Linked DNA regions of Diceros bicornis minor. The protein of the gene in region 1 interacts with the protein of each later gene in a biochemical or structural test. Links are inferred from orthologs where the notes say so. Each region holds a gene or a part of one and is shown on either strand. Other genes may lie near its edges. The genes, in order: UBE2N, RNF135, ZNRF1 and RBX1.

Evidence for each region.
Region 2: the proteins of UBE2N (region 1) and RNF135 form a complex in vitro, tested with the Homo sapiens proteins (4 studies listed by BioGRID). The link is inferred for Diceros bicornis minor from reciprocal best matches to the Homo sapiens genes UBE2N and RNF135.
Region 3: the proteins of UBE2N (region 1) and ZNRF1 form a complex in vitro, tested with the Homo sapiens proteins (3 studies listed by BioGRID, with this or other methods). The link is inferred for Diceros bicornis minor from reciprocal best matches to the Homo sapiens genes UBE2N and ZNRF1.
Region 4: the proteins of UBE2N (region 1) and RBX1 form a complex in vitro, tested with the Homo sapiens proteins (5 studies listed by BioGRID). The link is inferred for Diceros bicornis minor from reciprocal best matches to the Homo sapiens genes UBE2N and RBX1.

What each region holds. Positions count from the first base shown.
Region 1 is NC_080764.1:28,469,869-28,477,651, reverse strand, and holds the start of UBE2N (ubiquitin-conjugating enzyme E2 N), read right to left. Parts: upstream 3,069-7,783; 5' UTR 2,666-3,068; coding exon 2,636-2,665; intron 1-2,635. UniProt on the Homo sapiens protein: The UBE2V1-UBE2N and UBE2V2-UBE2N heterodimers catalyze the synthesis of non-canonical 'Lys-63'-linked polyubiquitin chains. This type of polyubiquitination does not lead to protein degradation by the proteasome.
Region 2 is NC_080757.1:21,203,446-21,210,911, forward strand, and holds the start of RNF135 (E3 ubiquitin-protein ligase RNF135), read left to right. Parts: upstream 1-4,126; 5' UTR 4,127-4,140; coding exon 4,141-4,509; intron 4,510-7,466.
Region 3 is NC_080771.1:25,547,195-25,554,699, forward strand, and holds the start of ZNRF1 (E3 ubiquitin-protein ligase ZNRF1), read left to right. Parts: upstream 1-4,184; 5' UTR 4,185-4,585; coding exon 4,586-5,009; intron 5,010-7,505. UniProt on the Homo sapiens protein: E3 ubiquitin-protein ligase that plays a role in different processes including cell differentiation, receptor recycling or regulation of inflammation. Mediates the ubiquitination of AKT1 and GLUL, thereby playing a role in neuron cells differentiation.
Region 4 is NC_080764.1:9,389,743-9,397,540, reverse strand, and holds the start of RBX1 (E3 ubiquitin-protein ligase RBX1), read left to right. Parts: upstream 1-4,635; 5' UTR 4,636-4,652; coding exon 4,653-4,730; intron 4,731-6,653; coding exon 6,654-6,732; intron 6,733-7,798. UniProt on the Homo sapiens protein: E3 ubiquitin ligase component of multiple cullin-RING-based E3 ubiquitin-protein ligase (CRLs) complexes which mediate the ubiquitination and subsequent proteasomal degradation of target proteins, including proteins involved in cell cycle progression, signal transduction, transcription and transcription-coupled nucleotide excision repair.

The DNA.
Region 1 (7,783 bases):
TTAAAAAGTAACACTAGCTGCTGCTTAAAAGGAGACTAATACAGTAGGCCAGGCAACAAATGATGGAACTCAACAGTGGTTTCAGAGAGAGAGGGAAATGTGTCAGATTCAGCATATACTTCGAAAGTAGAGCCTAGAGAATTTGCTACTGGACTGGAAATAAAAATCTGAGTGGGACAGCAACGGGGTGAATTCAAAAAAATCACCTTATATTTGAATAGTCATTTACAATTGTCAAGGTACTTTTACATACATTATGTCATTTCATAATAACAAGAGGCAGGAGAAGGTCACTCTGAGTTAACATCCAAGTTCTGCCTCTTGCCAGCTTCAAGACCCTAGGAAAGTTGTTTGAATGTGTTTCCAGACTGTAAATGTATTGTCTACTTCACAAGATTACTGCAGGTATCAAGTGGCTCAAGAACTCTGCAAATGTAAATAGTAACCATTTTGAGGTGGCCAGCATCATGTTAATAGTTGTCCATTGATGGTATGGTGTATTCCTATCATTCTGGACAGTAGAGCTACCATACCACCACCACCACAACTATATTCCACATAGGACCCTGTAATAGTGGTTGACAGAGAAGACCCAACCTTTTTTTAAAAATTCTGACACAAAAAATAAACATTTTCACTGATTATGGAAAAACCTACATAATATAACAGGGGCACTAGAAAAAACAGTATAATCTTTTAATCCTTCCTAGGGATTGGAGAAAACAGTTCTATAAATGGTATTACAGTAAAACCACCTAACTTTTACAAGATAAAACCCAAATCAAGGCATCTTTCATTAGAGAGATGCTATCAACAAAATACTGTAAAATTAAGATTATATATGAGTTATCACTGTCTTGGTTTAAATAGTAAGATGCAAATGCCTAGTGTAAACTAAACTATTGTGTGCCAAATGAACTGAATTATAAGAACAACTTATTGCCTTAATTTCTGTAAGTTTATAAAAACAAGATCCCACAGAATTTATTTTTCTATTCAAGGCTTTCATATTACTGCAGAATATCTCCAAAATCAAGCAAAAATGGAAAAATTCATCTTAAATCTTTAGTTCATTATGTATTTTGGAGAATTATCTTGAATGTCAATTTGTGTTATGTACTTAGTCAATCACCTGACTAGAAGTCAATAAAAATTAAGAGAATATCTGGCATACAGCTCTATCCTCCACCCCTCAGTTTCAACTGGGGCCTCGATAAACATGACCATTAGGGCCACGTAACTGCATTATAACTAAAACCACATTTTAAGGATCTTCCAATGCATACAGCAATTAAACTGCCTTGGCCAGAGTCCGAGATAAATCCACTAATATAACAAATTTGGCACTATGAAGAACCACATTAGACTCCAGCACCCAATGACAATCTGTTCTACTTCTCTAATTTCTAAGAATATCCATCTTACAAATGGTCTTATTTCTCTAAATCAAGCACCTTAAGGCAGAGACACCTCCATCTCACACATATTTACCTACAACTGCACGAAACAATACACAATACATCAGCCTTCAACAGGTTTTCACTGAGTATGCACCTCCCCCCAAACTTTAGAAGAACAAACTAGATTAAATATACGCTCAACACATTATATCCAGCAAAATGATGCTGCAATTTAGTCACTTGAACTCGCATATTGAGGGACACAGAGTTCAACTGATTTCCTTCACTAAAATTGACAAAAAACTTCAAAGCTTTGTTTTTGAGTATTGCAAGAAACATTTCACATCGGAGGACTCGATATTATGTAAAGAATTCACAAAATAAAGATGTCACATTTTTCATGATTCTATATGTAATGGTTAAAGCGCACAAAATCGAGAGGCAAAAGATTTCACAGGGTCTCCCATACCTGCGCCCTCACCCCCACCCCCGGTCTTGTGTTAAACTATTTGCTCTGAACAGGAGCTCTGAACCAGTCTACCAACCAGAGTAAAATCACTTCGCGGAGATAACGAGCGGAAACGTATCTAAGGAAACGAGCTCGCGGAAGCGAGGGCAGCGGGGCGCGGAGCCCCCACATCCCCGGACCCGCATGTGTCGACGGCGGCAGGACGCGCGGCCCTCCCGGAGCCGCCTCCCGGGGCACAGGGCCCCGCCCGGCCTCACTCGCCCGGTTCATTCATTCTGAACGCGGGGCTGCCGCATCCCCGCGCTCCCGCTCGGGCCGAGAGGGGGCTCCGGGGCCGAGGGGCCGTGCCGGGCCACAACCCCCACCCCGAGTCGGGGCCCCGCCACGATTCCCGCGCGCCCGCGGCCTCCGCCCGGGGGTGGTCTGAGAGGCCGCCGAGGCCCGCGCCGGCCCGCGCCCAAGACCGGAGCCCCGCAACCCCGGCCCCACCCTCCGCCAGAGCGCAGGCCAGGCCTTCCCTGCTCGCGGGGCAGCCGCCTGGAAGCCCCGGGTCCCCGCCGCCGGGCTGCCCCACCGCGGCCGGAAGTCTCCCCGGCGCCCCCTCCCCAGCGCCCGACTTCCCTCGCCGCCGCGGCCAGACCCTCTCCGCGCTGCCTCGGGCCTCCCAGCGCGGGCCGCGGGCCGCAGGCAGCGAGGGGCTGCGCCGCCCGGTCTGCCGAGAGCGCACGAGCAGAGCGGGCAGCCGGAGGCCGGCCTGGGCGGTTACCTTGATGATCCTGCGGGGCAGCCCGGCCATCTTGTCAGATCCCGAGTTCGGCCTCTGGTCTTGTCTCCGCTCCGCTCGCCTCACGCACGAGTGGAAGTCCCGGGCTCCACTTCCGGGGGACGTTGCCGCGCCCGCCGCCGCCGCCGCCGCCGCCCAGGCCCCTCGGGAAATGTAGTCCCGGCTCGGGCGGGCTTCCCTCGGACCTGGCCCCCTCCCCCGCGCTCCCCGCCCCAGCCCCGGCCCGAGGGGGCGGAAGTGACGCGCCGCGGCGGGGCAGGGACTTGGGGGAGGTGGCGCGGGGCTCCGCCGGTCTTGGCCGAGCGGGCCGCGCGATGGTGGGACTGGGCTGCCGGCGCCCCTCAGACTTCTTATCCACGGCCACGCCCGCGCCGGTGGGCGACGTAACAGAGGCCCGGCCGCCGACGTAGCCCATTCCTTCGTTAGTGCGATCGTTCATTCATTCAACGTTCCTGCATTGCGCGCGGTCGGAGCTGGTGCTGCAGGGAACGACTGCGGTCAAGTTGATCCGCTGGCTCCTGACTCAAAGAGAGGAGAAGACCGAAACTCGGTAGCAAAGCTCCTGTGGGTCTCGAAAGTTAGCCAGGGAAAACCCTAGCCAGAGAGTTTTGATCTTCAAATTTCGGAAAAATCAAGCCTCTGACACACCCCTTAGGCCCGGGAAAGGCTAAAAGAAAAGAGCTTGGAGAGTTGGGGGCGGGGAAGAAGAATGGCTTCTGGACTCAGTGGTTGAAACGGCAGAGTCCTTAGCTGGAGGAATGACCAAGGAGAGGATTGGAGAGCCCAGAGTAATCCGGGAAAGAGGGATAACCCACAGAGCGCGGGGCCCTAAAGGAAGATTAGAGTGGGGATGCCCGAAAATAGGATTTGGGGAAGCATTTCGTGACATCCTGGTGATTGATTGCTTGCTGTGTGATGGGCTCACTGCAGTTACTATTTTACTTCATCTTCACAGCAATCTTAAGAAGGTGTTGCCTCCGCCTTTACAAATGAGGCTCAGAGACGCTAACTTGTTTCAAGGTTATGCAGGAGGTGGAGCTGTTTTGTCCTCGGGCAGGTCTCCCAAAACATGGACCCCTTAACTACTTAAGCACAGTGTTTCCAAACACAGTAGCACAGACAGTAGATGGTGAATGAAGATGTGCCAGATGCTGTATTAGGGGATGAGAATACAAAGAGGCTGACCCTGCTTTCCAGGAACTCAGAGTCCAGTGGAGAAGAGAGACAAGTAAACAATTACAACCCAATGTGTTAAGGGCTATAATAGAGGCTCCTCCAAGGTGCTATTTGAGCACAGGGAGGCATTAATTGCTTGAGAAGTCAGAGAAGGCTTCCCAAAGAAGTTGAGGCCTAAAACATGGGTAAGAGTCTAAGTGACCTGGTAGGGAAGAGCACGCCAGGCATAGAAAATAGCCTGTGAAATGTCATTAAGCTATAAGAAAAAAAAAAAAAGAGCATTAAAGAAATGGAGAATATGAATGCAAGAAACTTAATAAGAATAATAAAAGATAACGTGCTGGGCACCGTGCTAAATGGTGACATGGATTATCTCATTTAATTATAAAGCATATAAGGTAGGCTTTCTTATTACCAGTGTTTTTTAGATGTGAAACACAGCCTCAGAGGTAATAATGGGAACTTGAAATAACCAGAAGTCCTAAATGAGTGGTTCTGTGATTAAAAGAATCCGAGAAAGTAAATGACATTGGACAAGGATACTTTCAGAATATTTTAGAGAAGACCCAGGAGAATTCACCTTATTAGGAAGAAAGGCAGAGTGAATATTGAATTAGAAGGGGACTATGCCAGTTGTCTATTGCCTAACAAACCAGCTCAAACTTAGTGCTTAAAAGGACAGCAATCATTTATTTAGTTCTTGAATCTGCAGTCTGGGCAGGGCTTGGCAGAGAAGGCACATCACTGCTCCATGCTGCGGCAGCCTGGGCAGCTTGACCGGGACCAGATCCATTTGTGAGATGACTCACATAGCTGGCAAGTTGGTGCTGGCTGTTAGTCCCCCTCAAGGTGGGCCTCTCCCTGGGACAGCTTGGGCTTCCTCACTGTATGGTGGCTGGGTTTCAAGAGTGAGTGTTCTAGCAAGTGCAAGTGGCAGCTGAATCCACTTTTTTGCCCCAGCCTTGGAAGTCACATAGGATTACTCCCGCCATAATGTATTGGTCAACTAGTCACAAAAGCCCACCCAAGATATGGACTCTACCTCTTGAAAGAGGAGTGACAAGATTCTAGAAAGTAGCAGAGTATGTGTGGTAGAAGCTGTGGGTGTGACCAACTTTGGAAAACACAAAGTGCCACAGGTATGACGTTTGTCACAATATGCTTAGGAACCACCTGCCTTGGCATCACCGGCAGTGCTGGCTGAAATAAGCATTCCTGGAGCCCTTCCCCCAGAGATTCTAAGTCTCCAGGTCAATGCTGAGGTCTGGGACTCTGCATTTAAACATCATGGGTAATTTTGATAGATCCTAAAATTTGAGAACAAAAGATTTTGAATAAACAAGAACAAAAATGTATAAACAAAAAACGTCACGTGCCCTCTTTTGGCTATTCTGTATCAGAATGGATGGTGAGTATCATGCAGATTACGAGTGAGGGCCCTGGAGTCCCACCTAGATTTGAAAACTTGCAGTTTGCTTAACTTGTTTGTCCTTCATTTTCTTCACCTATAAAATGAACCTACTTCATGTGATTGTTGGGAAGTTTCAATGATACATTTATATATAAAGTACTTAGAACACTATGTACCACTTAGCAAGGGCTATTATTTTTGAACCAGGTATAGTTTTCCTAGGAAACCAGATTTTTAAAACTTGACAGTAAAACCTTGTTTGGCAGAGATTTTTTTTTTATCAGACTTTTTTTGTTTATTGCAGTAACATTGGTTTATAACATTGTATAAATTTCAGGTGTACATCATTATACTTCTATTTCTGCATAGATTACATCATGTTCACCACCCAAATACTAATTACAACCCATCACCACACACATGTGCCTAATTATCCCTTTCGCCCTCCTCCCTTCCCCCTTCCCCTCTGGTAACCACCAACCCAATCGACAGAGATTGTTTTGATGGCATGAAATTCTCTTAGAGTATTAACCCTTAAAATATATTTTTTCATGTCTCTTCTAGTTGTTTTTCCTGTTCTTGTCCCCCTTGAGAACAGCTCACACTATACTCATCTGGAAAATAAAATCTAAACTTCTGATTCATCTAAGTCCTGCAGAACAGGAAATATTCTAGAAGGACAGGTTGCCACAGGGCTGACATGAGGTTTATTCTCAAGTTAGAAAACTGGTTAAGAATCCTACTTACCATATCTATAAAATATGGATAAAATAAGGATATCTACAAAACTAATTGAATCGATTCCTTCAGGGGAGGGGTCTTGGGCAGCTGGAGAACAGAGGTAAAAGGAGGACTTTTTCTTCTACTCTTGTATCTTACAGATTTTTGAACTACTTGAATGTGTTACCTATTAAAAACATAAAACAAGAAGCCAATTCACTAATTTCAACAGTCTAATCTAAGGGGTATTCAAAGCTCTTTAAACACTGATCAGGCATGATATTATAAACTCAAACCTCAGCAAAAAGATGCTGGTCTATGGCATTGAATAAATGGTTACAGTGACCAGATAGATTCACTAAGCTGAACAGTGCTAGGCAGAACTCTTAGCTAATTACGCTTTTTTGGCTCTATGTCAGGTCTTGCTCTCTTCCATGTTTTTTTCCAGTCTCTCCTTCTGGGACTCAAACCACGAGTGCCTTTGCATTATGATATAGGGAAAGAGCAAGCAATAATGCTGTGTTGGAGGAATTAGAGGAATCCTGTTCTATGCAAATCTCTTACTCCCCAGAAAACTATTTCACTGCCTCCTGTTCCTTCCACACACCCCACCCCCAAACATTCTAGGTTTGCTAATTTGGTCCTATAATGGGAGATGCCTAAGTACTATTTACCTTGCAGGTAATATCGGAGGACATTTATACCTGAGCTCCTCAGAGTGAGGGATCTCCTCCATCTTGGTCAATACTGTATCCTTGTGGCCTAATACAGGGTCTGCTACATGAGAGGTCTCAAAAAATATTTGTGAGAGGAGTGAATCGATGACCGCAGGCTGCAAAAAAACTCCTGTTTGAGAATGGCTGACATAGATTCATGATCCATAAGTGAATGCTTACAGAAAGCATAGGATGTTTATGTTCATCCCTAAACTCTTCAACTTGACTTCCTGGAGGGCAACAGAGCTTTTCTACAAACTGTCTCATGTTTGCAGAGACAAAATAGAATAGATCAGTTTGGAAAATGGTAGGTCAGTCACCTTTAATAGAGGCCCTGTTTCAAGTCATAAGCAATACTCATTTTTCTGCAATACCCTTATGGTTTCTTGCACGTAGAAACACTCTTCCGTGGGTGGTCAGGACAGAAGTATCTGTGAGAAGAGGGTTCATGAACACTGACTCAGGGAGGAAGTGGGTGGGGGAGGAAGAAAAGGCTGCACACTGATTTAAAAAAAGAAAGAAAAAAACGCCTGCTGCCTCATGTTCATGACTTCCATGTAAATGGCTGAGCATTTATAAACTGTTAACCAACACAAGGCCAGCCTGTAAGGAGGCTCTGAGTGGGGTCTTCCAGGGTCATAGGAGCTCTATCTCCAGGAGGAAGGCCTTGGGAAAGATGAAACCCAGGAGAATTAGAGCAATAGGCTTCCTTTTGTTTAGTGCTTCATGCTTTACAAAGCATTCTTGAATGTCATCTCACCCACGGAGAGCCTGTAAGTGTATGGACCACTGGAGCGATTCTGTAGAGCCCATCATTGATTCCACGATGTTTCTATAAAGGTAGATGGAGGGGGGATTCCTCTCTCTGGGCCAGTTCCCAGTGGAAACAGGATTCCAGAGGATGGTGACTCAAGACGTTTGGCCAGAAGCCCTGCTGGAACAGGAACTCTGAAAGCAAGGCTCTTTTCCCTGCCTCTGTGTGCCACTCTTTCAGGTTTCCGAGAGAACGTTTGCATACCACATCCTTGGGCTTTAGTCACTACATAACTCTGCCTGCGATTGCATACTCAGCCTACCCAGCCTAAACTGTTCCCCTACTTCTTCCTA
Region 2 (7,466 bases), on another chromosome or scaffold:
ATAGAACTACCATATGATCCAGCAATCCCACTCTGGGTATATTTCTGAAATCACTATCTCAAAGAGATATCTCTACTCCATGTTCACTGCAGCATTGTTCCCAATAGGCAAGACATGGAAACAACCTAAGTGTCCACCCACAGATGAATGGATAGAGAAAATGTGGTGTATATAAAATGGAATATTATTTAGCCATAAAAAGGAAGGAAATCCTGCCTTTTGTGACAACATGGACGGACCTTGAGGGCATTATGCTAAGTGAAATAAGTCAGACAGAGAAAGACTTTTGAGTCTGATCTCATTTACATGCGGAATCTAAAAAAGCCTACTCAGAAACAGAGAGTAGAAAGGTGGTTGCCAGGGGCTGCCGGGTGGGGGAAATGGGGACATGTCGGTTGAAGGGTACAAACTTACAGTTATAAGATGAATAAGTTCTGGGGATCTAATGTACAACATGGTGACTATAGTTAACAGTACTTTATTGTATGCTTGACAGTTGCTAAGAGAGGATATCTTAGTATATCTTAGTTCTTACCACACACACACACAAATGGAATTATGTGAGGTGATGGAAGTGTTAACTAACCTTACTGTGGTAATCATTTTTGCAATATATGGGTGTGTCAAATCATCACGTTGTACACCTTAAACATACACAATATTTTACGTCAATTATGTCTAAATAAAGCCAGCAGAGGGGCTGGCCTGGTGGCGTAGCAGTTAGGAGCACAAGTTCCGCTTAGGCAGCCTGGGGTTCGCAAGTTCAGATTCCAGATGCGCACCGATGCACTGCTTGTCAAGCCATGCTGTGGCGGTGTCCCATATAAAGTAGAGGAAGATGGGCACGGACATTAGCACAGGAACAATCTTCCTCAGTGAAAAAAAGAGGAGGATTGGCATCAGATGTTAGCTCAGGGCTAATATTCCTCACCAAAAAAAAAAAAAAAAAGCAAAAAAGTAATGTTCATCCACAGATAAATTCATTTTTTAAAAAACCCAGCCCATCCATCTCATTAAGAGCTGCAATTCTAATAAAATTTTTACTTTTTGATTAACAATTATTTACATAAATTTACAATATATTTTTGTTTTTATCGACTGCTAATAATAATTATAATGATAATTCAATACAGAATAAAAAAATTAACAAGAGCCTTTTTGTCATAGGAAGTAAAAAAGATTTAAAAATTCAATATATATATATTTTTTGTTGTTGCAGGAAATTATTACAAAGTGATAAAAGTGATTTTGTTGTTGTTAGTGCCATCAAGTCAATTTCAACTCCAGCAACCCTGTGTACAGCAAAGTGGAACCCTGTCCAGTCTTTTTCTCACTTTCTCCTGCCCGCCATTTTCTCACCTTCCGGCACTCTATCAGCCAAAGTTCTGCTGCTATTTATAGGGTTTTCATGGCCAATTTTTTTGGAAGTGGGTAGCCAATTCCTTCTTCCTAGTCTGTCTCAGCTGCTGAAACCTGTCCACCATGGGTGACCCTGCTGGTATTTGAAATACTGGTGGCATAGGTTTCAGCATCACAGCAACATGCAGCCACCACAGTATGAAAATTGACAGATGGGTGGCCTGGTTCCCTGACTGGCGAATGAACCCAGGCCATCACAGTGAGAGCACTGTATCTTAACATCTTAATCTGGTGATTACAAAGTGATAAAAGACTGTCATGCATAAAATATATTATCTTAGATTATAGTTTTGTGGAGAAAGTAGAATGGAAATACAAGTTTAAGAAGATGAAAGAATGATAAAATTTCCAATGTAAATGAAGAACTTGTTCACAAATTTTTACAGCTAGGGCTGACTACTGCCATCCCTCCCCCCTTTCTTGTAATCACTGCATGTTTTTGAATAAAACTTTTAGGAGCTGTCCAAGAAAAAAAAGTTTGAAGACCACTGGTTAATCTACTCTTCCAAGAAACTTGGGTGTGCAGTGGAAGACAGAAGGAGAGATAGCTAGAGGGAGGCCTATATCAAAGGAGACTTTATTTTTTAAGATGGAAGATTTGAGCATGTGCATTTGATATCATGCCTATTTTTCAGAAGAGAGGTCCAGAGAAGCTATGAGTTTACTCCAAATGAGGAGACTCTGGAACAAAATCCAGGTAAGATATCAGTCAGAATACGCTAGGGGGCTGGCCCGTGGCGTAGCGGTTAAGTGCGCGCTCTCCGCTGCTGGCAGCCAGGTTCGGTCCCGGGCGCGCACCCACGCACCGCTTCTCCCGCCATGCTGAGGCCGCGTCCCACATACAGCAACTAGAAGGATGTGCAACTGTGACATACAACTGTCTACTGGGGCCTTGGGGAAAAAGAGGAGGAGGATTGGCAATAGATGTTAGCTCAGAGCCCGTCTTCCTCAGCAAAAAAAGAGGAGGATTAGCATGGATGTTAGCTCAGGGCTGATCTTCCTCACAAAAAAAAAAAAGAATATGCTGGGTTATGCTGTAGCTACAAGCACCCACTAAGTCTCAGTAAACTTAACATATCTCAAGTTTATTTTTCTCCTTTGCTACATGTCCTAGTATGGGTCGGCAGGAGGTCTGCTCATCTTAGCGACACAGAGACCCAGGCCACCAGTTGATGGCTTCATCTCTATAGTCACGGCAGCTAGCAGAAAGGGGTACAATGACTTACCAGCTTTTTAAGCTGGTGGGAAGTTAACAACTATTACTTCTGTGTGTTTCAAGTTGGTCAGAGAAGTGCCAGTCCTACCAGGTGCCTAGAAAGGAAAAGAGCTGGAAACTTGGATGAGCAGCACTAATGACTACTACCTGTCATTTCCAGTAGTGGAAATAGCCACAAATTTGTATTATCTGGTACCTACTTTGAGCCCAGGCAAGATGGAGTAAAATAAAATATAAGACATTGTTAGTTCAATTCAACAGACCAGAGAGAGACAGGTTCTGGTCTCTGCCACTCAGTTATTGCTATGTAAGCCTGGAAGTTTGTCTCTTTGGGTCTTTGGGGAGGATTTGATGCTGTTCTAGTTCATATGTTTTCTGGTTGTAATACGCTTAGGACTGGAATAAGAGGAGAGGAGGAAGAGAACAAGTCCAACCAGGGCCAGGAGTGCTACCTCAAGAAAACAGACTTTCTAGCATTTTTGTTCCGATGCTTGTTGGGTAATGTGCTTTCAGTCAGCAGGGAGCAGTAAGGAGACAGAGGCACAATTCTGCACTGTAACACGGATTGTAAAAGTCTAGGGGTCACTCAACTTTGGCTGCGGGTTAGAATCATCCGGGGGAGATTTTTTAAAATACCTGTGCCGTGCTCTACCCCAGAAAATCAGACTCTCCAGGAGTGGAGCCCCAACATCGGTGTTTTTAACCAGCTTCCAGTTATGTGCGCTCCAAATTCTTTTTTTGTGTGTGTGAGGAAGATCAGCCCTGAGCTAACATCCATGCTAATCCTCCTCTCTCTCTTTTTTTTTTTTTGCTGAGGAAGACGCGGTCTGAGCTAACATCTATTGCCAATCCTCCTCCTTTTATCCCCCAAAGCCCCAGCAGATAGTTGCATGTCATAGTTGCACATCCTTCTAGTTGCTGTATGTGGGACGCGGCCTCAGCATGGCCGGAGAAGCGTTGCGTCCGTGGGCGCCCAGGATCGGGATCCGAACCCGGGCCGCTAGTAGCGGAGCACGCGCGCTTAACCGCTAAGCCACGGGGCCGGCCCTCGAAATTCTTTAATCCCTTGCTAGTTGGAGGGGCTGGATGACACCTAGTGGACGCATTCTCATAAAAGAGTTCTTGAATCCTCTTTTTTCTTCTTCCAAGAGTTGTCGGGGTTGTATTTTAATGGGGCGGGGGGCGTTAAACCAAGGGATCTTTGGGACATCATCAGGTTCCTAGCGCTTGGGGCGAGCTGATTTCCCAGCAGAGGAGGCTGTGACTAGCAGCCAGCTCTGCCCCCAGGGCGCCGCGGGCTGGGCGGTGGAGGCTCTAAGTCAGCTTTCAGCAAGACTGCAGAAACGGAACAACGGCGGACCGAAGTGAAGAGGGGAGGAGACAGCGAAGGAGCGGGCGGAGAGGAAGAGCGAGGGAGGAGCCAGAGGAGACGTAGCAGCGGGCGGGCGGACGGGCGGTGCCTGGCGTGGCCGCGACTTCCGCGCCCCGGCGGCGGACTGGTCACCATGGCGGGCCTGGACACCGGCCGGGCCATCCCCGTGTGGCTAGCCGAGGACGACCTGGGCTGCATCATCTGTCATGGGCTGCTCGCTTGGCCCGTCACGCTGCCCTGCGGCCACACCTTCTGCCGCAGCTGCCTGAAGGACCTGTGGGGCGCAGGGGCCGCGGGGCGCCGCTGGTCCTGCCCCACCTGCCGCGAGGGCGGCGCGCAGCAGCTGCAGCTGCGGAAGAACACGCTGCTGCAGGACCTGGCCGACAAGTACAGCCAGGCCGCGCGCGAGCTGGAGGCCGGCCCCGGCCCGGCCCCCGGCCCAGCTCCCGCCCCGGCCCCCGGCCCAGCGCCGGGGCCCCCGCGCCCCGCCGCGCCGCTGCCGGTAGGGAGGCGGGACCCGCAGCTCCCCTCTCTCCTCCAAGCTGCCCGCGCCGCCTGCACCCTGTTGCCCCATCGCTCTTCCTCCTTTCCCTTTCCTTTTCTACTCTTACGTTACTTTTTCCCCGTCTAAAAGTAGAACGCGCTCTTTGGAAAGTTCAGAAAAGTATGAAGCAGCAGGAAAAAAAAAAATCCAAATCTCCTAAAATCCTATCAACCTAGCCGCTGTACACCTTGGCGTATTTCCATTTCTTTCCAGTCTTTACGAAGTCTGTCTCTATGAAAATTTTTTTATTGTGGTGCAATTTGCTATTCTAACGATTTTTAAGTGTGCAATTCAGTAGCGTTAGTTGTATTCACAGTGTTGTGCACCCATCACCACTATCTATTTCCAAAACTTTTTCATCACTACAAACAGAAACTCTGTACCCATTAAGCAATAACTTCTCATTCCTCCTCCCTCCAGTCCCTCTAATTGAGTTTCTGTCTCTATGAATTTGCCTAGATATTTCATATAAGTGGAATCATGCAATATTTATCCCTTTGGGTCTGGCTTCTTTCACTTGCCATGATGTTTACAAGGTTCATTTGTGTTGTAGCATGTATCCGAACTTCATTCCTTTTTGCGGCTGAATAATATTCCCTTGTATGTATATACCACTTTTTTTAAAAATTCATACCTTGGTGGATATTTTAATTGTTTCCACCTTTTGGTTATTGTGAGTAATGTTGCAGTGAACATTGGTTACAAGTATCTGAGTCCCTATTTTCAATTATTTTGACAATACCTAAGAGTGGAATTGCTGGGTCCTAAGGTAATTCTCTATTTAACTTATTGAGGAACAGCCAAACTGTATTCCACAGCAGCTACACCATTTTACATTCCCATCAACAAAGTAGGAGGGTTTCAATTTTCCCCAGCTTTTGCTCCTGGAACCTACGTGCCCTATCGTACATTTCCACCATAATCTTTAGCTCTAGACATAGGCAAGTTTAATTCAGTTGCAGCGTTCCGAGCAATGCCCACCACCTTTCTGGCCCGAGCTCTGAGTTAGGTAGAAAAAGATGAGCACCCTGTGTCATTCCTTCAGGCAGCCCCAGCCAGGTTAGAACAGACATACACAACAATTTGTGAATGTGGGGCTCTGCTCCTTCTGCAACCAGGACCAGGGTTCCACGCTGGGAATCTTCAAGACTGTTACTTAGCCAGGGAGGGAGTGGGGCGGGGGCAGGTAAAAACACCACAAAGCTTTCCTACTGCCAGGTTGCTCTTTTTTGATTTGGTGTTTTCCAGAGTCCTGACAAAGTTTGTTCTGTCAGTTTCTGCTTGTTTTGCGATGTTTTATTATGGGGGGCTAGGGGTAGGGTAGGGGAGCTTCCCGCTCTACCCTTTTGCTGTTCTCTGCGGTCTTTTTGAAGAGTTGAGGTCACCTTGTGTAGGTAGTTTATGTCGTGTTTTTTTTTTTAATTAGTTAATAGACTTTATTTTTTAGAGCAGTTGTAAGTTTACAGAATGCTGAGCAGATAGGACAGAAAGTCCCCATATATCCCTCACAGTTTCCCCTATTATTAACATTTTGCATTAGTGTGGTACATTTGTTACAATTGATAAACCAATATTTATACATTATTATTAACTAAAATCCATAGTTTACATTAGGGTTCACTCTTTGTGTTGTACAGTTCTGTGGGTTTTGACGAATGCATGAGGTCATGTGTCTACAATTACAGTGTCATTCAGTTATACTGTCCTGAAAATCCCCTGTTCTCCACCTGTTTGTACCCCATCCCAACCCCTGGCAACCACTCATCTTTATACTATCTCTATAGTTTTGCCTTTTCCGGAATGTCATATAGTTGGAATCATACAATATCTAGCCTTTCCAGACTGGCTCCTTTCAGTAAGCAAAATTAGGGTTTGTGACTTGATAGCTCATTTCTTTTTTTATTGCTGAATAATATTCCATTGCATAGTTATACCACAGTTTATCCATTCACCTGGTGATGGACATATTGATTGCTTCCATTTTTTTGCCGTTATGAATAAAGCATGTTCTCTTCTTTTTGATTATAAATACAGCATTATCGCTCAGGTCCTTAAAATGTTTTGTTAATATAGATTATACTGTAGTGACTGAATATACTTTCCAAAGCCTTTTAAATTAAAATGATTGTCTTTGTGTTACCAAATTGACCTCACTCTGGTGGGACTCCAACCCACTTCAGAGGAGCTCCGCGGAGGGACCCACAGGTGTGGGCCTCGTACCCACAATCCGTCCCCTCCTTGGAGGGTTCTTTTCTGTTCAGGGTCGCAGATTTGAAACAAAACCAAAGCTGAACAGTCAACGGCACAAGCTTTTATTTGATGGCCAAAGAATAGAGAAGTGGGAACTAAGTTCACAACTCAACTTCTCAGCTCTTGGGGCGAGTAAGCAGCAGCGGTTATAAGGGGTCGAGATAATGAAGGGGGGGAGTATTCATCATATTCAGGGAACAGGGCAGGCTTTTCGGGGGAACAAGGGTGCCACCTCTTTTCTTTCCTTATTTAGTCATATGCTGCGGTTGCTGTGGCAATTGTGGACTGTCATGGCGCTGGGGGGGGTGTTATGTAGCACGGTAATGTATTACAATGAGCCTGTAATGAGCTGTGGGGTCTATGTCAGGTCAAGTCAGGCTACCATGTTGCCTTCACCTGGTTTTAACTGGTTTTGACAATATGTCAGCCATCTCCTTATTCCTCTCTTCGTGGTTTCCTGTAACCTAAAGAGAATGTGTTAGGCTTGTTCTGAGCAGGGTTGTGGTTAATGTCTTATGGGGCCAGGGGCCAGGGTAACATTTGGATAGTAGGATATTGGATGATTTAAAACATTTCTTCTTTCTTGTTCTCTGCATTTTCTAAACTAACCACAATAAGTATGTATTTTTTTTATCGGTAGAAAAGTTTTTGATTTGCTCAGGTGC
Region 3 (7,505 bases), on another chromosome or scaffold:
CACCCAGGGTCAGCGAGAACATGAAGATAAAAAAAAAAAAAACAGTCCCAAATCTAGCTGGGGCCATTTCTGCATCTATATCCCTGCATTGAGAGTGTCCAAAATGACTTGACATCTCCTCAGATCCATTAACTTTAAACCAAGAACCCACAGGAGAAACTTGAAGGAAAACATACTGGACTCCTGATACAACAAATGACAAAATGAAACTGATCTGAGGCTGCAGGTCTCCGCGGATGCCTGTTGCTAGCCATGAGTCACCCTCTCTAAGATGTCAAGTGTAGAATCAAGCTACTGAATGAAGAACTTTCCTCGTTCTGTATTTTAATATTTTCATTTCAGAGGCAAAATTGTCGTTTGAATAAAAGCACAAGGAGATAACAAGGGCATCGCCTGAGAAAGGCTGCCATGCAGGGTCCCACAGGGCATCTAAGCTTAGTGTCATGACATTGCAGAGAATAGAGGCTTCACCTTCGCAGTTCAGGCCCTCAGCTATTCAGTGGTGCCCAATGTGAGAGAGACCGGCTTATGATAACCAGTAGTCTGGAATATAAACTTTAAGGGCAAATTATTAATAAACAAAAAGGAATATAGCTGTTAAGCAGATCTAATCTTTTTCACCCCATTGGAAAGCATACAGAGAAAATGAAATTGTCATCCAAAGATTCCTTGATGAGCACCTTCACTGTAAAGCTTAGAAGTCCAGCTCTGCTCCTACTAGCTGTGTGACTTTTTACTGTGCATGTGGGATATACTTTATATTTACCTCTACCTCTCTATCAGTTGGTCTCTATAAATTTACATGGCTCAAACACTAAAATACAAAAAGATATATAACGAAATGAAATATTTCTCATCCATCCCGTCACCGAACTCTCCAGTTCCTACTGCCCACCCCCCAGGGGACAACATTATGTCATTTCATGTTTCCATCCAGTATCTTTATGAATATATACACTAAGAAAAATACAGGGGTCGGCCCGGTGGCATAGTGGTGAAGTTTGTGCGCTCCGCTTTGGCGGCCTGCGCTTCGCAGGTTCGGATCCCAGGCCAGACCTACACACTGCTTATCAAGCCATGCTGAGGCGGCGTCCCACATATAAAGTAGAGAAAGATGGGTAGGGATGTTAGCCCGGGGCCCATCTTCCTCAGCAAGAAGAGGAGGATTGGCAACGTATGTTAGCTCAGGGCTAATCTTCCTCACCAAAAAAAAGAAAAGAAGAGAAAAGAACAGAAAAATATAGACACGGTCCATGCTCCCTACCATGGCTGACAGGACCCTCTTGTCTGTCCCTGAGGACCAGCTTCATCTTTGGCTCCTCTCATTGCAGCTTTACTGCATCTTTCAGTCCTTTGAAGATGCCATGTTCTCTGGGCCTTTGAACATGCTGTTCCCTTTGCTTGGAACATTCTTCTCTTCCTGAAACACAGTTCTCCCCCCACCCCATTCCCTGGCTAATCTCCCACCCACCTTTTAGGTCTTGGCTTAGAATCACTGTGTTTGTGCCTGTCTCCTTCCCTCAGCACCATGCTCTTTCACTCTCATAGGACTTAGTTATTCATTCATTCATTTGAAAAATATTTATTGAGTGCCAACTACATGCCAGGCACTGTTCTAGACTTATCTATCACACTGTATTGTCACTGCCTGCTTCAATACTTCATATATATAGAGTCACATACCAAAAAATTGCACTGTATTACACTGTAATTCCCATACCATAAAATTCACGCTTTTAAGTGTATAATTCAGTGGTTTTTAGTATATTCACAAGGTCGTGCAACCATCACTATTACCTAATTCCAGAACATTTTCATCACTCCAAAAAGAAACCAGTTAACAGTCATTCTCTATTTTCCCCTTCCTCCAGGCCCTGGCAACCATTAATTTTTCCGACTCAATGGATTTGCCTATTCTGGACATTTCACATAAGTGGAATCATACAATATGTGGTCTTTTGTGATTGGCTTCTTAGTATAATGTTTTCAAGGATCATCCATGTTATGGTACATAACAGCACTTTATTTCTTTTTATGGCTGAGCAATAGTCCATTGTATGGATATACCACATTTGCTTTATCTTTTCATCAGTTGATGGATACTTGGGTTGTTTCCACTTTTTAGCTATTTTGAATAATGCTGCTATGAACATTCATGTACAAGGTTTTCTGCAGACATATGTTTTCATTTCTTTTGGAAATATACCTAGAAGTGGAATTGCTGGGTCATATAACTCTATATTTAATCTCTTTGAGGAACTGCCAGACTGTTTTCTAAAGTAGCTGTACCATTCTACACTCCCACCAGCAAGGTATGAGGGTTCCAATTTTTGCACATCTCACCAACACTTGTTATTGTTCTTTTTGATTAGAGCCATCTTAGTGGGTGTGAAGTGCTTCTTTTGAATTTCCATGAGAACAAGGACTCCATCTGTCTTGCTCACCACTCTATCCCAGAACCTAGTGCATAAGTGCCTGACACTTATGAGACATTCATATTTTGTTCAACACACTAAAAAAGTGTTGAATGAATAGGTAAATCAAAAGCTAGATAGACGGTTACAATACTATTGTGTATTTATCTCCCCCATAGAGCTCTGTCGAGGGATCTAGCATTCTTTTTTCTGCACAGTACTGAACCACCCCTCTTCTATTACCATGGTCTCTCTTCAGGGAGGAAATTGGGTTAAATGTAAGCTTTCTTGTTTTTCTTCAGATCACTCATTTAGATCTCAGGTGTGCACAAATTCTTCATTTAGGCACTTAAAGATAGTTTCTTGGGTATTGGAACATTTTGTTTTTTCCTACCTGCATTTCTCATACTGAACTCTTGACTTCCTTCTGCAGGGCCTTTAGTTCACTCCCAAGCACCCCATGCTTGCAAATAGCCTTCCTCCTGTTTCTTTCCAAGCGGGTCACACTGGGACAATCAATACCTGTGACAGACCAGCCCTCCTGTTTTTTGGTTTTCTCTTAATATTCTTTTACACCCTGTTTTGGCTCCTTGATTTGGAAGTATCTGGGGACATTTAGAGCAAGGAAGTCAGGCCAGGGACTAGGTGATGCTCATATCGAGCCCTCAGCACTTGAAAAATAGTTGTTGAATGAATGAATGTGAATTTGTGAGAGAGACATATTGCAAAATGCAGACTTGGTCAACAAATATTTATTAAGTACCCACTATGTCCCAGGCCCTGTGGTACATGCCCGAATAAAAGGTAAACAAAACAGGGGACTCGCCTTGGACTTAGGGAGTTCCTAAAATCACTAGTTCTAGCTACATTATTCCATTTTCACATCTCTATCTTTTCACTCTTTATCGTACACCTAATGACTTCAAGGATCACATTTTAGCTAAGGAATCTACCCGTTTACTTAACCCCAAAATAGGAAGTTCTGAATTACTGTCAGCAAAATTCGCAGTCGCAAGTGCCCCAGGGCGCTGTTTACCCGCAAACAGCCAAAAATCTCCCAAATGCTAAGCTTCCTGATCTTCGGGATCCCTGGATGGGGAACCTCCCAAAGAACGGACCGCACGTCCACCAGAGGGTGCTGTGGGGGTAAATTTGTGCCGGGAGGGGAGCTTGACCAGTGACCCACAGAGCCAGGTAGGCGTCTTGAGTAATTTTCATTCTTCCTACGGTTTCCTTCCCACCCCCTTGAACCATCGCCACCCCTCCCCCATAGGTGGTTCCCCCTGAATAATTAGCCACTTTCGGGGACTTAACGAGTGCTTGCTTTGAAAAGACGCCTTGTTCCGTTCCCGACACCCCGTGGCTCCAGTCACTCAGGTCACTGGTCGGTCGGGACCGGGTGGGTGGGGACCTCCGGGGCGTCAGGGGCCGGGCACCGCAGGGGCCGCGAAGGGTTAACCCGGCGGGGGGGGAGGGGGAGGGGGAAGGGGCGCGGGCCGCGCCTGCGCTCTGCCGCCCTCCATTGTCTCCACGGCGGCGAGGAGCGCCGGCGAGCACAGCCCGGGACCTAGCGGGGCGGCGCGGCTGGCGGGGTCGGCGGTGGCTGGAGCGAGAGGGCGACGGGACGCGACCGCGGCTTCCCGAGCTCCGCCTGGCCGCCCAGCGCCGCAGCCCGCCCGAAGCCTGGAGGGGTCCGGTCCGCCGTCCATGGTCGCGGCGTCCTGAGGCGGGGGACGCGCCCGGCGCCCCCAGCCGTCCTCCGCCTCCTCCTGTCGGGCGGGCGGCCTCCTCTGGCGCCTCCCTGCGCCCGCCCGCCCGCTCGCCCGCCGCCTCCCTCCCTCCTTCCCTGCGGCTCCCCCGGCTTTCGGGAGCCCGGGGGCGGCCTGTGGCGCGCCGAGCCCGCGCCGGACTGCGCCTCTTTGGACCTTGAGGCGAAACATGCGTTTGGCTTGGATCGTTTTAAATTCTTAGTTTGGGATCCCCGCCCGCCTGCCTCTTCCGCTCCGCGGGTTTTCTTTTCTTTTTTCTTTTTGTTTTTTTTTCCCTTTTTTCCTCCCAGTCTCCTTTTTGACTCCCTCCCCCTTTATGCTCGCCCAACCCTCCCCTCGCTACTGAGAAGTGGGGGAGGGTCTCCGCCTCCAGGTTCCCGCCCCACCGGGGCCCGGCCGAGCATGGGGGGCAAGCAGAGCACGGCGGCCCGCTCCCGGGGCCCCTTCCCGGGGGTCTCCACCGATGACAGCGCCGTGCCCCCGCCGGGAGGGGCTCCCCACTTTGGGCACTACCGGGCGGGCGGCGGGGCCATGGGGCTGCGCAGCCGCTCGGTCAGCTCAGTGGCAGGCATGGGCATGGACCCCAGCACGGCCGGGGGGGTGCCCTTTGGCCTCTACACCCCCGCCTCCCGGGGGACCGGCGACTCGGAGAGGGCGCCCGGCGGCGGAGGGTCCGCGTCCGACTCCACCTATGCCCATGGCAATGGTTACCAGGAGACGGGCGGCGGTCACCATAGAGACGGGATGCTGTACCTGGGCTCCCGAGCCTCGCTGGCGGATGCTCTACCTCTGCACATCGCACCCAGGTGGTTCAGCTCGCACAGTGGTGAGTCCGCGGATCGTGGAGGCCTCGGAGGGTGGAGTGCAAGGGAGGGCGCGCCGGGGCTCCCCAAACCTTCGCGCGCGTGCGAAGGTTTGGATGTGGAGTGCACGACCTGGATCTGTCTGTCTTCCCCTTGGTTCCGAAAGCCAAGGGATGAATGGGATACCTATCCTCTAGAAAAGAGGCATGGCATTCTGCGAGGCTGCGGAGCCGGGCATTTTAGGACTTCAAGCGTTGGTTCACTTGTGGATGGGCAGAGTGAAACCTGCCTATTGAAATCCCATTTATTGGCATCAGCATCCTCAAAGAGGTCTTGTCTGGTTTACAGCAAGTCGGCCTCAGTGCTTCCATTCTGTCACTGCAGCATTGTGCCTACCTCGCCGTTAACGGAGAGAGAGGGATCCCATCTGACCAAGCCGGTCTCCCAAATAAAGAGTGTGAAAAGAAATAAAATTGGGGGCATGTGGTGTTCGGATTAGGGCTCTCACTCTTGCTGGGAGAGGGGGATGCCCAATTTTGCCACCCTGCTGGAGATCTGTTTGAATTGTTTAAAATGGAGCAGGCTGCTGGCATAGACAGGTGTGGCGTGCTGAATGGAGGGCCCAGCCAGGGAGCCTCCCCTGGAGGCTTTGCAGGACCAGGGCTCTGGTCGCCCGTGCTGCATGCGGTAGGCTTGGCTCCATGACTGTCACATCCCTCCATCTTTTTTCTTCCTTTCCTTGCTAAGTGCTTGGTCTTCCTGTAATCTGCATCTTTTTGTAATGGAGAGGTGGGATTTTATTGCCTGGCTGTTGGCACAAGATAGGGGAAGAAGGGAAGAAGAGGATTCAGAGAATCTGGATGAATTCATTTTGTGAACTTCTGGTGACAGGCCAGTGAAAAGCTGGAGGAGGATTTCCCAGGCTCTGACTGGCAGGGTGGAAAAGGCACTGGCAAGAGCTGCTGGACGAAAACAGGTTTGTCTGCTCAGCTAACGTGCAGCTTAGGCTTCTAGAAAACTGGTCAAAAGGAGTGTGGGGCCGCTATTTGCTAATTGGCAAGTTGGAGTGAAGAAGTTAATGTATTCAGACTCCTTTGGGAAAGTCGAGAAAATTTAGATATTGTGTAGAAGAAAGATTGCTTTATGGAAGATTTATCTATCGGATCACTGTTCTAGCTATTGTGAAGTAGAGTAGACTTCTTGGATCTCTTTTTTATCTGGAAAGAGTCTGCATTTTTTTTCAAACTTTTGTCAAACTATAAACTTTAATTTGTGGAATATTTTTGGGGGAAAATAGTGACTAATTTAGGGTAACACTTGAAAGTAGCTTTTGAATAGCTAGGATGGTATTTTAAGCCCTGAACAGACCTCTGGATATCGTTGGAGCTTCTCTGACCTGAAGTAGATGCAAGGCATGACTGCCTTTGGCACTTTTAGGCATTTGATCAGCTTTAGACATCTTGAAATTAATGATCTTTCTGATAAAATATGATCCAGAAAGAGTCAGTTGTATTTGTGAGATGACTGTGGTTAAGTTTTTAAAAGAACTGTCATTAGTATCTGATTTTAAACCAAAAAGCACTATAAGAAGCTTCTCTAAAACCATAGAATTTTGTGTGCTGCAAAACAAATGTAATCTTATAGATGCTTGTCTGGGGAAGGAGTTCCCTTTTTGCTGAAATTTCTTGTCTGTCTCTTACCAGAAACTTCATTTTCCTTATTTCACCACCAGGTTCCATGCTGGAGTTATGAGCTTACAACTGGATTCCCAAATTTCAGACTCTTCAGCTGTGAAACCCATGGGAATACAGGAAAGGGCGTGGGGGCTGGTGTTACTATTGGGGGAATACATTCTTTATAGGGCCATCCTGTCCTTTTGCAAGACATTGAGTGTACCTGGCCCTGCCCACTAAATGCCCCCACAAATTTCCAAATGCTCTTGTCAGGGGTGGGGATACCACCCTGATTGAGAATCTCTGCTTTAGGGATTTGTTGTTTTATTCAACTAAAGTTATTTTTTCTGGTGCAGTTCATTTGAGATGAGCCTTCATTATTTCCACTCTTCTATCTCACCTTCTGGAACAGGCCATGGGATCTCCCTTCCAGGACACCCCTTTCCTCTCTTGTTCATTGCTGTAAGAAGAGAAGCTTGTTTCCACTTTGAAGCCTCTGAGTAAGACCCGAGCAGTTTTTGTTCTTGTGTCCTAAGAGTAGAAGGGTAAGGATTTCGGTGCACAATTGACTAGATGCCTGGAAGTTGATGTGGTGCTGTTGCTTGTGTTTTCAGGGTGCTTTTGGAACTCTTCCTGGGCACAGAAAACAGTTGTCGGTGAAATAGATGGGGGAGTTCAGTGTGTGCGAGGCTTCCTCAGAGGGAGTGAACTGATGTTGTGTCAGGAGGTAGAATACTGGGGTCCCAGCTCTTTCTCTGAGGAGCTGTGACCTTGGGCAAGACACATCACCTCTCTTGAGCCTCATCTTTGTTATTTTTAAAATAGACATGGTAATCCTTGCAGCCA
Region 4 (7,798 bases), about 19 Mb from region 1:
TGAGATATTAATTTCAGTTATTGCATTTTTCTGCTATAAAATTTCCTTTTGGGTCTTCTTTATATCTTCTATTTCTTTGCTGAGGCTTTCTATTTTCTCATTTGTTTCAAGCTTGTGTGTAACTGCTCATTGAAAATTTTTTTATCATTGCTGCTCTAAAATCTTTGTCAGATAATTCCAACATCTCTGCTATTTTGGTGTTGGCATCTATTGATAGGCTTTTTTCATTCACTTTGAGACCTCAGAGTCTTGGGTCAGTTGAGCAATTTTCAACTGAAACTGGACATCTTTATACTATGTTATGAGACTCTGGGTCTTATTTAAACCTTCTGTTTTAACCTTCTGGCTTTTTTTTGATACTGCTCCAGCAGGAGAGGGTGAAGGTAGAAGTCCAGGTTCCCCACTGGGTCCCCACTAACACCCAAGAGTGGGGATGCTCCGTGTTACTGCTGGGCAGGGGTGGGAGTTCTAGCTTCCCGCATGGTCTCTACTGACACTGTAGTGGGGATGGCCTCATTCTTGATGGATAATGATTGGTGAAAGCCTTGACTTTCCACTAGGTCTCCTCCAATACCATCCCAGCAGGGAGGGGAAGGGGTGCCTCATTACTGCTCGGTGGGAGTGGAGGTCCAGACCTCCTCGTGGTCCTCTCTTACACCACAGGGGTAGAGCAGCACCTTATCAGCCAGAAGGGGTAAAAGTTCCAACTCCCTAATTAGCCTGCACACCCTGGCGCAGGTGTCGGGGCACTTGGTTACAGACTTGCGAGCTGTACAAAACAGACTCCCCAACAGCTTTGCTGACATGGGTGGGAGTGGGCCACATTTTCTTCTGTATTGTTTGGATGGAGTAGGGCAGTTATTGTCTACAAGTTTTCCATTTGCTAGAGAAAGCAGCCTTTTGTTGGGTCTTTTTTTTTTTTTTTTTTTTGGTCTGCACTTATTGGCATTTCTGGGTTGCCACCTTCTTCAGCTCCAAGTCTGGGATGTATGAAGTAAAAAGAAAACACAGAGAACTCACTACCATGTCATTCCTCAAGTCCTGAGATCCCTAACTGGTCTGCCTTCTTCTCTCCACCTTTCAGAGTCTTCTTTTTTTTTTTTCAATATACCCTGTCTAGGGATTTCAGTCATCCTCAGAGGGAATAATAGGGAAAAGTATGTCTACTCCATCTTCCCAGAAGTGGAAGTCTTGCCTAGAACTTTTTAAAAGACATATCTGACCATGTGACTCACTGGTTAGAATCCTTCAATGGCTTCCCATCACTAAGGATAAAGACCCAAACCCTTTGCATGGCTCTACTGAACAGTCTTGCAAGACCTGGCCCCTACCAGTGGTAAATGTTTAACAACCAACTCTAGGGGTAGGAGGAGCCCTGATCTGTAGTGTTTGCTAATCTCCATGGTGTAAATACTACTATTATGGCCAATTTGAAGCTACCAACATGATGTCGCTAAATACAGAATTGGGAGGAGATGCTAACAATTGACTCTTGCACATCATTGCAGACTCATTTATACCACTCTCTCTCTCTTTATACTCCAGCCATTCCAGGCTTCTTTACGAGTGCACTATGCATTCTCCAGCTTCCAGCCTTTTCCGCACTCTGTTGGCTCTACCTGGAATGCCTTCTTTTTCCACATCCCTCATTGTGTGCAAGTGCTTGATTTGTAGCTTTAACAGCCAGGTTGCATCAGCTTACAAGAGCAATTGTTAAACTTTCAGGAATTTTGCAATCTGGCTATTAAAGCTACAAATCAAGACTTTATTTTTAGAGGTGGTTTTTAAACATTTACCAGCATACCACTGCATCCATTCGTCTGGTTCATCCTTCAATCTCAAACCAGTTCCTCTAAGAGGACTTCCTCCCGCTCCCCAGACTTGCTTTCTGCTTCTAAGCACCCTGTACTTCCCCTTTCCTAAAATTCACTGGGATTATCATTAATTGACTATTGCCTCTCTCCTACTACCCCATAAGTTCAGTGATGAAAGAGACCTTTTGGAAGTACTTAAAATATCAATTGCCTTTTTTTTCTAGACCAGCATGGTGTAGTTGACACAGCAGGTTCTGTAGATATTTTAGAAATATTTGTTGAATGAATGGATCAATAAATGAAAGGAACAGAACTAAAGTAAAATTACCACCTATTGCATTGTAAATGGAATGAAATTATGCAGGATAGGAATCAGTATGGAGTCCACAAAAAGTTTTCTTAGGTTTAGCAGCAGAACCTAGCATACAGAATTCCATGGCCAATTGCCACAGTAAGGCAAATCTCCAAAAGAGAGATAAGCACATGAGGTTTTCAAGGCTTAATGGAACCGCCCCTACGATCTCCCCTCTGTAGCTCGGTGCAAAGGAAACAACTCGCAAATTTTGCTGCTTCATGTATCCCTACAATCCCTTCTTCACAAAGCTTAAAAATTTTTATAAACTTAGATTATGTCACTGTTAGTCCCTTCCCCTACTTTCTCTCTCCAATGCCTTCTCACAACATCTGCAATAAAATCCCTACCTGATCTGGCCCCTGCCTACCTGTCTGACATCTCTTACCACAAATCCCTTGCTCAACAAGCTTCCGATTTATTCATTCAACACATACCGAGCACCTACAATGTACCAGGCACTGTTCCAGTTTTTGTTACCAGTAAACAAAACAATCAAAAATCTCCTCTCTTGGTGAGCACACAGAAAAAACAATAACTCTAATAAATGAAAAAATGTGTTAGAAGGTACCTGTACCATTAAAAAAAGAAGAGGGGCCAGCCCTGTGGCATAGTGGTTAAGTTTGGCATGCTCCGCTTTGGTGGCACAGGTTTGCAGATTCAGTTCCCAGGCAAGGACCTACACCACTTGTCAGCCATACTGTGGCAGATACCCACATAAAAATAGAGGAAGATTGGCACAGATGTTAGCTCAGGGCTTATCTTCCTTCAGCCAAAAAACAGAAGAAGAAGATAAGCACAGAACAATGAATGTAGCAGATCACGCAGGGCTTTTAGGCCCTCATAAGGACTTCAGCTGAACTGTCACTCCTCATAGAGGCCTTACCTAATCACCCAATTGAATGTTGCTTCCATCTCCCCTCAATCTCATGACCTTGTTTTGTCTTCTTCATAGCACTTGATATCCGAGATTTTCTGATGTATTTATTGACTCCGGTATTATTTCCCTACTAGGAGTTTGACTCCTTCATCACTGTGTCTCTCCTATTTATAACAGGACCTGGTACACTGAATGAATAAATATGCCCTCAGTACCTTAATTTACTATGGGTTTCTAGTATTCCTGGAGGAACACAATAAATTAGATGACAGAAATCTTAACATGGAATCATTAATTTAACAAAACTTGGGCTAAGAAAAACTTTGTAGGGTTTCTATAATGCTTGAAGGTCTCACACAATTTTTCTCTTTCCGAGTCCAGTTAAAGCTGTGGTGGTGGTTTCACGGATCTGTTGTTCTTGTTTATGACTAAGATGAGGAAAGAAATGGAAGTTCTTCCAGTTTACCAATGAAGTCACACTCCATTACTCTCGAATTCTAAGAGAAAATGTGAGATTTTTAGGTAAGAGTGATCTAGCTGACTCATATCTCTGCAAGGTGAGAGACGCAAAAGGGGGGCCTGGTCTAGAAATGGGAGTGAGGTAAAGTATAGGTGCTTTGCCTGCGAAGGAATGACCAGTAAGACTAAATGGCAGAATGCCTCACACAAATTCAAGAAGTACAGCGACTGTAGATGTGACTTCAGCACAAGGAGCAGGAAGACGACCGAAATTAGGAAGAAAGGACCCCACAGTTAGATGACCAACTGAGGAACGAGGAACGTGTGCTCAACGGGGAATGTGCGGGAAGTTGAAATCCTGTACCTTAACCAAAGCCCATTCTAGGACGGATTGGTATTTCGCGAGACCTAGAGACGGCATCTCCCAGGCTCCTAAGCATCCTCCACCTACTTCAGGTGGGCAGGTGAAGGCAGGGCTGGAGAATATCTGCTCAGCTTGGCCCTGGGGAGGACATTCGGGGAGTTCCCGTCTCCCCGTCGGATCCTGAGCATTCCCCGAATTGGAATCAGGAAACCAAACGGTGCCCGGGCCCCGGCCTCAAGCCTCCCAGGGAGGCTGCACCTCGGACCTGGCTCGGAAGAGGGTCAGGAACTGCGAAAGGCCACTGTCGGGTCTCGGGTTTCGGCCGCAGGAGGCGGGCGTCCACCCTCGCCCCTTCCGCGGCGGAAGCCCCGCTGGCACGGGAGAGCGCGGCAGCCGGGAAGGCGAGGCGGGGCCGGGGCGGCAGGTCTCGGCCGAGGCGGAGGAAGCAGCCGCCGCCCCAGCTGAGAGAGTGTGGCCGGGGGCTTCCCCGGGGAGGGCGACGAGAGCGAGTCCTTTCGAACGTTTCCACTTGGCTCGCTCACGTCGCCTCGGCCCCGCCCGGCCCCGCCCCGCCCCAGCCGCCGCCGCCGCCTCCGCAGCCGACGGGGGCGGGGGGACCTGCGCCAGCGCCTTTAAGAGGCGTGGCCACACGCTCCGCCCCACCTGCCCCTCGCGCGCCTGTAAGGGGTGAGGTGCGGGAGGAGGCGCCGGGGCGGGAGGGGGAGCGAGGCGTGCGCTGGTGCGCAGGCGCAGTGGCCGGACGACAGACCGTGTGTTTCCAAAATGGCGGCAGCGATGGATGTGGATACCCCGAGCGGCACCAACAGCGGCGCGGGCAAGAAGCGCTTTGAAGTGAAAAAGGTTGGGTCTCGCCAGCGCCTTCCTCAGGGGACCTAGAGAGGCGCGGATCTGGCTGGCAGGCCCTAGGATGACCGAGGCGCAGAGGAAAGGGCTTCATTTCAGGGCGTTCCTGAGACCGGGTACCACGAAAGGAAGCCGGGGGGCGGGTCTTAGCGTTGATCGGCGTGACTGGGGCCCACTGTCATTGGCAGCATTGGTTTCGTTCGGAGGCTGAGGGGCCAATCACGGACGTGCTTATTGAGATACGCGGGGTTGCGGCTTGGCTGCGGGAGCCAAGCGCCTGAGCTGTCACTGGAGTGCTGGAAGGGTGGGGAAGGAGAGGGTGGGGTGGGTGGAAGGGGGAGTCGGAGCGGTGCGGTGGGTGGAGGATGGGGCAGTGCGGCGAAAGCCGGGAACCTGAGGTCCTACCGCATTGGAGGTCTCGGAGGAGCCGGGCTGGCGACCTCCTTGCCCCGCCCCTCTCCGAAGCTTGGGGTCCCTCTTGACTCTGAGGGACCCCGACCCGGTCCTCACCTAATCGAGGCCTCCATTAGCCACCTCCCTGGCCTTCATCCCCGCCGAGTTAGTGTCTCGAGTGTAACTCTTGGCTCTTCTGAGAGGTCTGTTGGTTTGCCACACAGCCGCCCCAATCCTGTGGTCATATCCAGAATCTCCCTATCCAAAAAAAAAAAACCATGGTGGAATTTGTTAAAAAGAAAATGCGAGCCCAAATCTTGTGTCATTTAAGGAGGGTTGTGTACTAGTTTTGAACGACCTGGTGGAAGTGGGAAAGCAGAAATGTGGAACGTGTCTTTTTGCATGAAACGCCTTATGGTGGTTTGCCAACACTTTGGGAGAAAAGTGCCGATTCCTACCTAAGATAAAGTGAATCTGTTCAAAATGAAGACTCTGAAATAGGGACGATGTTATTCCTGGAACATCTGGATGAATACTGACAATATTCCCCCTCCTAGTGCTTTTTGGCTTTTCATTGTGGGCACTGCATGCTCAGTTACAGCCAGCAGCCATATTGAAGAATAAAAGAAGTAGGATTTTTTTCCTCGAAGTTGAAGCTGTCGGGTGAAACGTGCTGAAGAAGTTACTAGACATTGAGAATTGGGATTGAAAGAGATGAAGGTTTGGGAGGTGGCATCAAATTAGTGGATGGAAAAGAAGTTTGGGAACATTTATAATTGCAGAAGCCAGAAGGTTGAATTACTTAAATACCACTTTTTAGATAAACTCCTAATGGAATTATTTGAACTAAATATAAGAGTCTGAGCATGTAAAAGTTGAGAACAGTAGTTTATTTGATGGTAGGAACTAAACAAAATTCTAGTGAATTCTAGAGTTTGTTGAGAAGTAATCTTTTAAGATTGAAGCCATGACCTTGTTCTCTGCACTGACAATGGGTAATTCGTTATCCAGCTTATCCCACGATTACCCATTTTATGATCCAATCATCATCTTAGTTCGTTCTGTTCCTAGCTTTCACCTCCCCACTCATGCTTCCAAAGCTGCCTTGAAGAACAGATATTTATTTATGCAGAAATTGAGCTCTTCTGCAGCTGCCTGGGGAACCTGCACAGTAATTCAAGTTTGTGCTTATTAAACCTAAAACAGGCACTTACAAATTATGCTTACGTTGATATGGCTGACTAAATTATTTTAAGCTGTAGGAAAAAATAAAATTAAAAGATGACTCATTAATTTCTGTGTTTATATACTCAACTGTTTGGAGAATAAATGAGCATATGTGTAGCCTACTTTTGCCCTCGGATATAATAAATAAGAGTAATGTAGTATCCCCAGGCTCTTTTGTTTGGTGGTCCTTGTGGCCAAAGAGATGATAATTGCAGCTGCAGCATGAAATCCTAGAGTGTGAGTGTGTGTGTGTGTTACAAGGAGAGTAGAGTGCATTGTTCCCCCTTTTTCTCTTTGCAGTGGAATGCAGTAGCCCTCTGGGCCTGGGATATTGTGGTTGATAACTGTGCCATCTGCAGGAACCACATTATGGATCTTTGTAAGTAATTGGAGGAGGATGGGAGGAAGTTGAGAAGGTTACAGAGATTGTGGCTATCCTGATGTGACCAATTTTCTTCTTCACAAGGGCTCTTCTGCATGTAGTCCATTGGTATGTTTGAAATAGAGTAGTTTTTATGATGTCCTGGAGGCATACCCATCTCTCAAATCTACTCCATCTAAAGATGGCAAGGCCACATTTAGAGTGAATTATGGACACAGAGGCACTGTTGGTTATTCCTCTGTATTTCCCATCTTATACCCAGACTCAAAGGCAGAAATAGAGAAAGAAAGAAAATAAACTTTGAGCTAAAATATTCTATCTAGAGCTAGTTTTTGCTGGGTAAGATTTATAAAGAAAAGCCTAAGAAGGAAGGATTTTCAGTGTTAGCCCCAGACAGAGTTAAGAGGACATCACTGCCAACATCTAAATAGGCAATTAACTGCACTAAAGAAGTTTCATGTAAATCTCCACATATTCCATTACACATAGCAGGTTTGATGATAGCTGTTGATGGACTGACTGAGTATCCTTGTAGTAATAGGGGCAAGAATGTTGATCACACCAGGAACAGTTGAGGTTACTTTTTCATCCAGGTACTAAAATGGTTTGTTATTGAGATCAGAAATGGGGCAAAGAAATTTCAACTTTCTAGAATGAAATGATAGGCACTTAGTTCCTAAATCACTTGCCTCCCTCTCCAGCTTCATCTTGAGCCACTCTCCTGCTCACTCTGGTAGTTTCTCTGGCTTTCTTTCCATTCCCCAAGTGTGCATGCTCTTCTTTAGAGCCTTTACATATCCTATTCCCTCTGCCTGGAATATTCTCTGCCTCTTTTCCCCATTACCTTTGTCTAACCCAACACTGTCCAATCTAAATGTGAGCCACACATGCAAGCACATACATAATCTAAAATTTTCTCATACCCACATTAATAAAGTGAAAAGAAACAGATGAGGGGCCAGCCCCATGGCTTAGTGGTTAAGTGCAGGCGCTCCGCTACTGGTGGCCTGGGTTTGAATCCCGGGCGTGCACCGACGCACTGCTTCTCCGGCCATGCTGAGGC